3 linked regions of the Xenopus tropicalis genome follow. The main gene of each other region encodes a partner of the protein of the gene in region 2 in a complex. Links are inferred from orthologs where the notes say so. Each region holds a gene or a part of one and is shown on either strand. Other genes may lie near its edges.

Evidence for each region.
Region 1: trrap (region 2) and smarca4 share a complex: the UniProt entries of both Homo sapiens proteins name them as parts of the BAF53 complex. The link is inferred for Xenopus tropicalis from reciprocal best matches to the Homo sapiens genes TRRAP and SMARCA4.
Region 3: trrap (region 2) and anp32e share a complex: the UniProt entries of both Homo sapiens proteins name them as parts of the SWR1-like complex. The link is inferred for Xenopus tropicalis from reciprocal best matches to the Homo sapiens genes TRRAP and ANP32E.

The regions. Positions count from the first base shown.
Region 1 is NC_030679.2:138,920,499-138,924,292, forward strand, and holds part of smarca4 (transcription activator BRG1), read left to right. Parts: intron 1-355; coding exon 356-529; intron 530-729; coding exon 730-903; intron 904-1,037; coding exon 1,038-1,205; intron 1,206-1,334; coding exon 1,335-1,385; intron 1,386-1,514; coding exon 1,515-1,645; intron 1,646-1,746; coding exon 1,747-1,804; intron 1,805-1,941; coding exon 1,942-2,060; intron 2,061-2,206; coding exon 2,207-2,357; intron 2,358-3,566; coding exon 3,567-3,730; intron 3,731-3,794. UniProt on the Homo sapiens protein: ATPase involved in transcriptional activation and repression of select genes by chromatin remodeling (alteration of DNA-nucleosome topology).
Region 2 is NC_030685.2:26,342,201-26,345,994, forward strand, and holds part of trrap (transformation/transcription domain-associated protein), read left to right. Parts: intron 1-440; coding exon 441-566; intron 567-3,794. UniProt on the Homo sapiens protein: Adapter protein, which is found in various multiprotein chromatin complexes with histone acetyltransferase activity (HAT), which gives a specific tag for epigenetic transcription activation.
Region 3 is NC_030684.2:129,175,707-129,179,437, reverse strand, and holds part of anp32e (acidic leucine-rich nuclear phosphoprotein 32 family member E), read left to right. Parts: intron 1-1,492; coding exon 1,493-1,655; intron 1,656-2,318; coding exon 2,319-2,470; intron 2,471-3,469; coding exon 3,470-3,536; intron 3,537-3,648; coding exon 3,649-3,731. UniProt on the Homo sapiens protein: Histone chaperone that specifically mediates the genome-wide removal of histone H2A.Z/H2AZ1 from the nucleosome: removes H2A.Z/H2AZ1 from its normal sites of deposition, especially from enhancer and insulator regions.

The DNA of each region.
Region 1 (3,794 bases), on a different chromosome or scaffold from region 2:
TTATTTTAAGGTGACCAACCCCTTTAAGTGGTAGTTTAACTATAACATTGTGCAGATACATGCTGAGACAACTGCTCTTCACAGTTTCAGCAGTTCCATTCTTTTCCTAGGGTCCAGTTTACCCTAGAGAGAGAAGAGTAATAAAAACTAGCAAAAAAATTGTAGCCCTACTAACTGCCAAGGATAGTAACCACCACTCCCTCCCCCTTTTGGAAGCTGGAAAGGGCAGAAATTATAAAAAGTGACGAATAGGATAATCCATAACATACTGAAAGTTAAAGTTGAACTACCTCTTTAATGTAAGTCTTCTTTATAAGTAAGAGCTGACTTTGTAAATTGGTTTCCTATTGTGCAGCTGCGGCAAGAAGTTGTGGTCTGCATGCGGAGGGACACGGCCCTTGAGACCGCCCTAAACGCAAAGGCCTACAAACGCAGCAAGCGGCAGTCCCTGCGCGAGGCGCGTATCACGGAAAAACTGGAAAAGCAGCAGAAGATTGAGCAGGAGCGCAAGAGGAGACAAAAGCACCAGGTATGGGCAAGAATAATGGCGGTTTTGGCATCAAGCTCAGATAATTCTGAGACTTGGACTTTTATTGCGGGGCTACAACTGTGATTGTAGATGGACCTGACTTGTTGGTGCATCTGGCTCATACAATATGCAGAGTTCCTGTGTGTGCCAGATGCTTCTGTATCTTATGCCAACCCTCTGCCGCTGTTCTCATGTTTTAGGAGTATCTAAACAGCATCCTCCAACATGCCAAGGACTTCAAGGAATTCCATCGCTCAGTCACAGGGAAGATCCAAAAACTGACAAAGGCTGTGGCCACGTACCATGCCAACACCGAGCGAGAGCAGAAGAAGGAGAATGAAAGGATTGAGAAGGAGAGAATGCGCAGGCTCATGGTTAGTACTTGCCCTTTACCCTGGCACAAGAGCTTCATTTAATGGGATATACTGTTGGGGCAACACTGAGTGTATATCTGACTGTGTTTTCCTGTGCATTTATTTTCTTGCTGCAATGTATTTTGTTCTTTTAGGCTGAGGATGAGGAGGGCTACAGAAAGCTGATCGATCAGAAGAAAGACAAGCGTCTGGCCTACCTCCTGCAGCAGACGGACGAGTATGTAGCAAATCTGACGGAACTGGTGCGGCAGCACAAGGCAGTGCAAGCCCTCAAAGAAAAGAAGAGAAGGAAAAAGAAAAAGGTGGGATAATTGCCAGAGATTCCACTTAGCTGTGAAACTTGTTACTGCCCCTATTGGAATGGTGTAGGGGGTCTCCGAGGGAGCAAAGTGAAATCTAGATTGGTGAACAAGTTGTTCGTTTTCTTCCAGGTGCAAGAGATCACAGAAGGCCAGCAATCGGCACTTGGACCTGATGGAGAGGTGGGCAGGGAATATGGAATATAGGCTGGTTTGGAGAGACGTTCCCTTTGCTGTGAGGGTGTAGTGGTGGTAATCCTGTTCCAGGGAAGATTTGACTTTACGTAACTTGTGTACCTGTTTGTATCCTAGCCACTGGATGAGACCAGCCAGATGAGCGACCTCCCAATCAAAGTGATCCATGTGGAAAGCGGAAAGATCTTGACGGGTGCTGATGCGCCAAAGGCTGGGCAGCTGGAGGCATGGCTTGAAATGAACCCTGGGTATGTTTGGGGCTAGGCAAAGGTAACGGTGCTTGAGCTGTGGCAGTTTATTGGGCAGAAAAAACTTCTACCTAAAACCTACTTTACTTTCTCTTGGATAGGTATGAAGTTGCACCACGGTCCGATACCGAGGAGAGTGAATCAGAGGATGAGGAAGAGGTAAGTTGAATTGGAGGACAGGCGGACGGTCAACCTTTTTTTCCTTCCTATTGCCTCCTATGTCCGTCTATGTGGGGCTTTTATGCTTGGCTCTTGAAAACAGTGTTTATTATACCTCTGATACTTTTATGGCTCAGGAAGAAGATGAACAACAGCAGCCTTCAGTCACTTCCCTGCTGGCTGTGGACGAGACTAAAAAAATTGCTGATCCAGACAGCGACGATGTGTCTGAGGTGCATGCACGGGAAATAATAGAGTAAGTATGGGGGGGGCGTCAGGAATTGCATTATATTTATTAAAGCCGCACATACTTGGGCCGAAAGGCTGCCGGTTCTCTTCCAATAACCAAATTGCCAATATGTAACTCAGTAAGTGACAGTGTGCCTGTATGTTTCCTCCCAGTAATGCCCGACAGGATGTGGATGACGAGTACGGTATATCACATGCTGAGACCAGTGGCCTCCAGTCTTACTATGCAGTGGCGCACGCAGTAAGTGAGAAGGTGGACAAGCAGTCAACCCTGTTGGTTAACGGCATCCTGAAACAGTATCAGGTGAGTGGCGCATACGTTGCATCTGGGTTTTCTAGTCTTGGGCATTATAATGCATTGCTGCACTGGAGAAAAATACACCTGTTTAGCCTTGAAAATAGGCATAACTGCTTTCTTGAACCCACCCCCTTGCAGTGATCCCCTGGCTTACCTTGTATTGTCACACGCTTTCTCAAATAACTTCTAGCTAATACTGTGAAACATGTGGGATAAACACCTTCTTCATTTGGTCTTATTAAATCCTGTTATTTGTATAAAATGGGAAGGTTTTTTTGTTTTTTACTTTATTTTGCCTTATTTCTGCAAACATGTGACTGCCTGAAAGCCTAGAGGTATTGTAACTTGTGAGATCAGGGGACACATTGCCGTTCACAGAACATCTGTCCACCATAATACTTCCAATACTAATATCAGTCCAAACTCTTGATTTTTATGTGTCCAACGATCTCTGTTTGACATCATTTTATTATGATCTGGCTTCTAGCAATGTAGTATAGTGCATAACAGTCGCAAAACATGTGAGATGTGTAGGTTGGACCAGCCTGGACTGGCAATCTGTGGGTTCTGGCCAATGCCAGAGGGGCTGCTGTAAGGTGCCATAGACACTCACTATTTATTGGGCTGCTGGGGGGCTGTTTGGGCCTCTGTGTACTGAAAATCAGGCCCGGACTGGCAATCTGTGGGTTCAGGCAAATGCCAGAGGGGCTGCTGTAAGGTGCCATAGACACTCACTATTTATTGGGCTGCTGGGGGGCTGTTTGGGCCTCTGTGTACTGAAAATCAGGCCCGGACTGGCAATCTGTGGGTTCAGGCAAATGCCAGAGGGGCTGCTGTAAGGTGCCATAGACACTCACTATTTATTGGGCTGCTGGGGGGCTGTTTGGGCCTCTGTGTACTGAAAATCAGGCCCGGACTGGCAATCTGTGGGTTCAGGCAAATGCCAGAGGGGCTGCTGTAAGGTGCCATAGACACTCACTATTTATTGGGCTGCTGGGGGGCTGTTTGGATCTCTGTACTTAAAGTACTATGACTAATTTTGAATCCCAGCCCAGACCTGGGTTGGAGGGTAGTACAGTGTGTCTGTATGAGATACAGATTCAGTTAGGAGGAGGGTTCCTTCTGCTTGTTTGATGTACAGACTTGGATAGTGGTTTCAGTCACTTTTATTATATTGGGTCTGTGTTGTTTCATTCACACTCTTTTCCCTCTCAGATTAAGGGCCTGGAGTGGCTGGTCTCCCTGTACAACAATAACTTGAATGGGATCCTTGCCGATGAGATGGGTCTGGGAAAGACTATTCAGACCATTGCTCTGATTACATACCTCATGGAACACAAGCGCATCAACGGGCCTTTCCTCATCATTGTGCCACTGTCGTAAGTAAACTGGCACCACTCGATAAGTGCTACACACACACATATTCACCTGGCACCCCCTGTT
Region 2 (3,794 bases):
CGGGTGCAGGCACATGTCGCCCAAATACGCATAAAAACGCAAGACTTTGCATTCTCTCGTGTTTTTATGCGTATATCGGCTACATGTGCCTGCACCCGAGCGTATTCTATTCATTCGGGTGCAGGCACATGTAGGAGGCGTAGGGCGGAATTTTCAGCAATCGCTTTTCCGCTTGCCGAAAATATCCGCCCTACGCCTCGTCTGGCATTAGCCTAATTTCATGGCCAGCTTAGATTCACTTACCGCTGCTGGGGTCACTAGACATTAGGCTTAGGTTTAAATTATAACACTAAGCCTGAGGTATGGAGAGCATTTATGCTTAAAGGGCCACGCATATTAGGTTTTATAGTGATGTAATTATTTTTTTCCCTATATTTCTGTTAACTCCCTTTTCTTCATCCTTTCCTTAATGTTAATCTTCTTACTCCTATGTATACAAGAACCGCTACTTTGAGAATCCTCCTGTAATTGCTGATAACACAGTTCCTGCTCCGGAAATGGTTGGCATGATTTCTACCATAGTGGTGAAAGTGAATCCAGAACGGGACGACAGTGAAACCAGAACTGTAAGTCTTATGACCGGTGTCATTGGCAGGTGAAGGGATGTATACAGAATAAGGCAGATTGTTATTGGTCATTAATCAAAAATGCTAGAGTGGGTTACCGTCCCCCCCCCCCCCCCCAAATACAGTGACATTTCCTCCTACAGTCAGTAGGAAATCGTTATCACAATGAGCCAGTTCAATAAAATGAAAAACACTGTTTGAGGAGGCCCCAAATTTTAGTTTGGTGAGCTAAACTTTAAGGCAACTTAAATACAAATTTTGGCTGAATACTTGCGTGCACTTGCATGTAAATGTATGCTCTAATGTGCATTGATCGAACGCTGGATATAAAGAGTATTTCTCTTGCAGGTGTCTGTGGGACACAGGGACCATGGGTATAGTAGGTACCAGCAGGAGGCAGGACACTAGAAGAGGAAGAAGAGAACTAACCCCTCCTCCCTGCTACTATACCCCCACGTACTTCCTGCCTAAGCCAGTTTTTTTCTAGTGTCCCACAAGGAGACAGGATCATCCTACTCTTCGAGTCTGTTTTCTTCAGCCAGATTCAATCTGGCAACCGGGGTCGTCCTAGAGGCCTCCAACAGGAGCTACTCTACTTAGGCTTCCCCCTACGTGGGAAAAAGTGAGGACGCTGGGGCACGTAAGTTACAGCCCTGCAGACACCCTGCCTCTGAATACAGAGCGCAGAAGCTGCCCAGCGCCTCCCAGTACTGTGCCTACTATCTGGCATTAAAGCGTGCCTCTCATAGTAGCCCTGCTCCCGGCAGGCTATTCAGCCCAACCAACCCCCTTTCTCTACAGCTCTGCCTTCTCCGTCCTAAGCCAGCCCTCAAGTGCTATCTCTTCCCCTTGCTCCCCTTCCTAGTCTGCCCGGCTCAGCCCTGCCTGCCTGCCTGCCAGCACTGCCTCTGCCTCCAGCCTCTTACCTTCACAAGCGCCGTTCACTGTAGGCCCCATGCGGCTCTTCTGTAGCGTCTATCCTCCATGCGTTCCAGCGATGCGTTCCACTTCCTGCTCGGCGGTGACGTCAGCGATCTTTGCGCCACTTCTCCACTTGGGTGCCCTCTCCTTCTATCCTCCGGATCGCACGGCCACTTCTGCTCCTTCTGAACAACTCCAAGAACAGCAATCCCTGGGCAGAGGCACTGGCACACAGGGCTCACAGGGACCACGGTCTATTTTTTTCTACTACTACTGGCAGGGGTCAGGCGCTGGCTAGAGGGAGAAAGGCATTAAGGGGGTTGGGTCCTTATTGGGGACTGTATGTGTGTATATTTCTAATGCTTCTCTACTGCTTTTATGCATTGCTAAGCACTTAAAGCACCTCTCTCCCAGAGCACATGTAATTTTTCCATATTACCTTCTAGATAGGTGTATTAACACTACACTTTCTCTGGATATTATTTTGGCATGTACTGACCTTATGTACTAGCTCCCCAACAGGCACTGTACTAGCTTTGTACTGACACTGTGTACTAGCTCTGTACTGGCACTACCATACACGGGTCGTTATTCTGTTTACACCCCTTTTTTCTGCATTGGCACCATAACTCTTGTAGTGCTCTGCATTAATATTCGCTTGCTCCTACACTAACTCTTTCAGTCCTATGGCAGAGGGCAATTCAGGGGGCCCCTTTTCCAGGGGGGCTTCCAGCTCCTCCAAGGTCAAATTTCTCGCCTGCGCCAGGTGCTGCAAACGCCTACCTTCCGGCAGAAAGGAACCACTTTGCTCCTCCTGCTCCAAAACTACGGCTGAAACTGCTTCCCAGGCCCAGGACCCTACTCCACCGGTCCAAGCTGCCGAACCTGCGGATGATGCCACTCCTGCAGATGCACACACAGCACAGATACCGACCGCGGCTCCTAGCCAGGACCCTCCATCCTGGGCAGTCTCTCTATCCACGGGCATTCCCAAACTGGCCGCATGTCTGGACAAACTCCTGGACAAGCTAGATCGGGAAGACTCGGACACTCGTCCCAAATCCCTCAAACGTCATGTCCCCATGCATGCCGAGGACTACAGCGACTCAGAATCACCTCAACTATCAGCCGACTGGGACAGACAGTCACTAAGTGAGGGCGAGATATCGGATGATGATGACCTTGCCGACACCGAGGAACCTTCCAGACCTCCATCAGAAGCCGTAGATTCTCTCATCGCGGCAGTAATCTCCTGCCTCGATCTCAAGACCCCAGAGTCTCAGAGCTCAGCACAAACGCTTTTCAAACGCCAGAAAAAGCTACTTTCCATGTTTCCTACTCATGAACAGCTAGACAGCATCATTCAGTCAGAGTGGGATCAGCCAGAGAAGCGCTTTCAAGCCAATAGGAGGTTCCAGCGCTCCTACCCATTCCCTCAGGAAACCCTTCATAAGTGGTCTACGCCACCTTCAGTCGATGCTCCCGTCTCGCGCCTTTCCAAGAACACTGCCCTTCCGGTCCCCGACGCTTCCTCATTCAAGGATTCCATGGACAAAAAGACGGAAGGTTTCCTCAGAGCCGCATTTACAGCGGCCGGAGAAAGTCTGAGACCGGTTTTGGCATCGGCATGGGTATCTCGGGCCATACAATCCTGGTCCGACTCCCTCATGGAGGGAATCAACTCTGGCGCCGCCAGACAAGAATTAGCGACCCTGGCATCCCAGATCAAAGATGCCAATGAATACCTGTGCGAAGCATCCCTGGACGCGGCTCAAGCCATCAGCCGCACATCAGCTCTTTCGGTAGCGGCACGTCGTTCTCTATGGCTTAAACTGTGGTCAGCCGACCTCTCATCCAAAAAGTCTCTAACCTCCATCCCCTTCAAGGGCAAGCTCCTGTTCGGTCCTGAACTGGACAAAATCATCAGCCAGGCTACCGGAGGAAAGAGCACCCTACTCCCACAACCGAAGAACCGTACCTCCTTTCGACGGGGACGCTTCTTTCGTGGAAGGCCATCTAGGACATCATCATCATCATCCAGGGACTACCAATCTCAGTCCTCCAACAAGCCTAGATTTCAGGGCCGTCCAAAATTTTCCTGGCAAAATAAGAAACCCCAAGGCAAGACTTCCAACAAGGCTGCCACAGCATGACTACCTTCCACAACAAAACTTCACCCCGGTAGGAGGCAGACTCCGCCTATTCCGAGACGAGTGGCTTCGCCTCACCGCCGGACCCGTGGGTACACGAAATAATCTCCTCAGGCTATCGGCTCGAATTCGTGTCCAGACCACCAAACCATTTCTT
Region 3 (3,731 bases), on a different chromosome or scaffold from region 2:
CTTTTTAGAATGTTACAGAATGGCCAATTCTAAGCGACTTATTTTGGTCTTCATTATTTTTTATAGTTTTTGAACTATTTCCCTTCTAACTATTTGCAGTTTTCGAATGGGGCTCAGCAGCTAAAAAAAACTATTGCTCTGTGAAAGTACAGTTTAAGTGTTAACGTTTTAGTACTTAATTTTTCTATTCACCTATCAGTCTTTCATTCAAACACTCTGGTTGCTAAGGTAATTTGGATCCAAACAGCTGCTGAAACTCTGGAGAGCTGCTGAACAAAAGCTGAAATAACAAAAAAACTACAAACAATAAAAAATGAAGAGCAGTTGCAAGTTGTCTCAGAATATCGCTCTCTACATCATACTAAAAGTTAACTCAAAGGTGAACAACACCTTTAAGATCACAATAGATATTGGTTATTATGCTTGTTCAAGAAGTCATCCAAGCCCCTCTTAAGGGTGATGCCCTACATAATATGGCAGCTCTCTATCGCGGGCAACTAACCGATCCAAAATGCCTTTCCGCCAGCAACAATAGGAGTCGCTGCTGGAAAGGCCTTGGCATCACTTTGGTTTGCTGAAGTTGCACCAAGTTGCCAGCAGGAGGGCACTTTGCATGAATTTGGAAAACTGAAGCACTGTAAAGGCCTATCCGCCAGAGATTAGTATTTGTGCCGGTGGAAAGGCATTTATGAGCGGTTATGTCGCCGCCTAAGCAAAGATTTATTGCAGGCACAGTAATGCCAAAAAAATGTAAAAGTGGTTAAAATATGGGGTATATTTATCATGCTGTGTAAAAAGTGGAGTGAAGCATTACCGGTGATGTTACCCAGGGTAACCATTCAGCAATTAGATTTCAACAGTTGGAAAACCAAAGCAAAGCATCTGATTGGCTGCTATCAGCAACATCACCCGTGATGTTTTACTCCACTTTTTACACAGCATGATAAATATACCCCCAAGTGTACTTCTGCCCTGCACTGGTAAAAGTTGTTTCAGAAAGGCTTCAATAGTTTATATAAACAAAGCTGCTGTGTAGCCAGGGGGCAGCCATTCAAGTTGAATTAGGGCTAAATAGCACTGGTTACATAAAGATAACAGATAAGCTGTGTAGAATCCCATTGTATACTGCAGAGCTTCTGTTCTATGTAACCTGTCTCTCTTCTCCTTTTTCTGCTTTGAATAGCTGCTCCCTTGGATACACAACAGCTTTGTTTATATAAACTATAATAATGTTTCTGAAGCAAATAGTTTTTACCAGTGCAGGGTAACATTATATTGTCATTTAATTTAAAACACTTTTTTCTGCAACCAACAGGTTATTCCCACTTTATTCTCCTAAACTAGCATTCTATTGATTCCTAATTGTATTGCATTGTTTGCTTATCTGCTCCATCATGGCGCACCATTGCATTAATCCACCCATTCATTCTCAGGCTGTAAGTATTCAGCTCCGTGAATTTATGCTTAAGGCAACATCTTATTTTGATTTCAGGCCAACTTAAAAAATTTAAAGAGCTTGGACCTGTTTAACTGTGAGATCACAAACCTAGAAGATTACAGAGAAAACATCTTTCAGCGGCTTTCCCAAATTACATACCTGGATGGGTTTGATCAGGAGGATAACGAAGCCCCAGACTCGGAAGAGGATGATGATGGTAAATATCCTGTTTGTTTTATATCTATAACCTGCATACATTCTTCTTTAATAGTTTGACATGTATCCATAGGCTAAGCTAGGCCTGAATAATTCTCTAAACACGGTAATCATGGCCCACAGAATACATGATTCTGGCTTCTAACTGATTTGTCCAATGGGTAACCAAAGCTAATTATACGGGCTTTGGTCACATGTTAGTATATTTCCTTCAAAAGCCAGAATGTGGGACCATTATTGCTGTATATAAAAATCCGGAATATAGGTGCAATTTATACCCTCTAATGGCCAAAGAGGGGAACAGTGGCTAAATATAAATCTGCACGAAAGCATAAAAGCTAAAAGATATGAACTTTATTGCTCCATTAAAATAAACCCCATGTACAAAGCCTAACGCGTTTTATGCTTACCAAGCACTTAATCATAGGCTTGAGTTTAAAGTTTAGAGAGCACACAGGCATTCAGGGTCGGACTGGGGGGTGTGCAGGGCCCACTGGGGCTTGCTAGGTTTTTTCTGGTGTCGCATCGGCCCAGTCCGACCCTGCAGGCATTGAACATAAAGTAAGACACTGATTCATCTAACTAGATTTAAAATACAGTCCTCACCCCTTTGCACAGTGCTGTGCCATCGACCTTTTCCATTACATGCATTTTGCATACACAGATGATGAGTATGAGTATGATGATGAAGAACCAGGACCACGGGGTTACGAGGAAGATGAGGATGAAGAAGGTGCCTCAGATTTAGGAGACGAAGAGGAGGAGGAGGAGGAGGAAGAAGTTGGGCTGTCGTATTTAATGAAAGAAGAGATTCGTGTAAGTATTCAGATCTGCATATAAATCATAGGTTATTGGGAATATATTTTTTTAGCACGCTTCTTTGCCAGGTAGATGGCCAGGACCAGGGCCGGAACTAGGGGTAGGCAGAAGAGGCAGCTGCCTAGGGCGCAACGATTGGGGGGCACCTTGCAGGACCTTCTCCTGCCTACCCCTAGTCTGCTCTCTTAGTCATTGGCCCGCCGCTTGTCATGCGGTGGGAGCAATGATCGATCGCGTCGCAAACCCCGCCCCCCTCAACTGCGCATGCGCGAAAGCACACGGGGGCGAGGTGGCTGACCCGTGTTGCCTAGGGCGCCCGGTCGGCTTGGCCCGCCCCTGGGCAGGACACAGTAATATAAAGTTTGTGGAGGTGATCAAGTGCACCGCAAACAATGACTGACTGTTAAATTGCATTATGTTGTCATTTTTGCAAAACTTTTATCCAAAATGAATAAAGCTGGGGTTACGTGTAAATTTGGTAATATGGGCAATGGGCCAAACATACAGGCAATAGGCAACATTACCTTGCTTAGCTCCTTATACAGTATCTGGCCTGTGGGCCAATAGGTCAGTCCCATTCCGGGTTTTTTTGTTTTTTTTTTTGTTCTTAATCTATCTTAAAGCTTAACTTAAAGCTTTTCTAGTGGGCTAGAAATACTACACCTTAGCTTTTGGGGTTCCAAAAACAAGTCCCAAGGCAGGAAGATAGATGCCCCCAGTAGCTCCCCATCTTTTCACTGTCTGACCTGAGCTCATAGCACACTGAGCATGTGCAGTGCCCCTGACACCTGGATCGTTACCACTGTAGAGATGCAGAACCTTTAGGCTGGTGCAGTAAGTTCATTATATTAAATATGGCATTTTTAGCCATATTCATTTTTAGGGTTTAGTTTTCCTTTAATGGCAGCATCTACAAATGCCCTCACTGATTTGCCATTAGATTAGTGAATATGCAACACTTAGAGGTGCAAATAATAATTGTTCTTGTCTTATTAGGATGAGGAGGATGATGACGATTACGTTGAAGATGGTGCCGAAGGGGAGGAAGAGGAGGAGGAAGATGGTATGTTCTTGGTGATACTATTGTATATCTGCAAAAAAAGCTGTAATTCTGATTTGTTTGCCCCCTATATCCCACTATACAGGTCTGACATAATAATTTTATTTGTTTCTAGAAGAGGATGAAGCAGCAGCAGCAGCTGATCGGGGAGAGAAGAGGAAACGGGACCCAGAAGATGACGGAGATGAGGATGAAGAT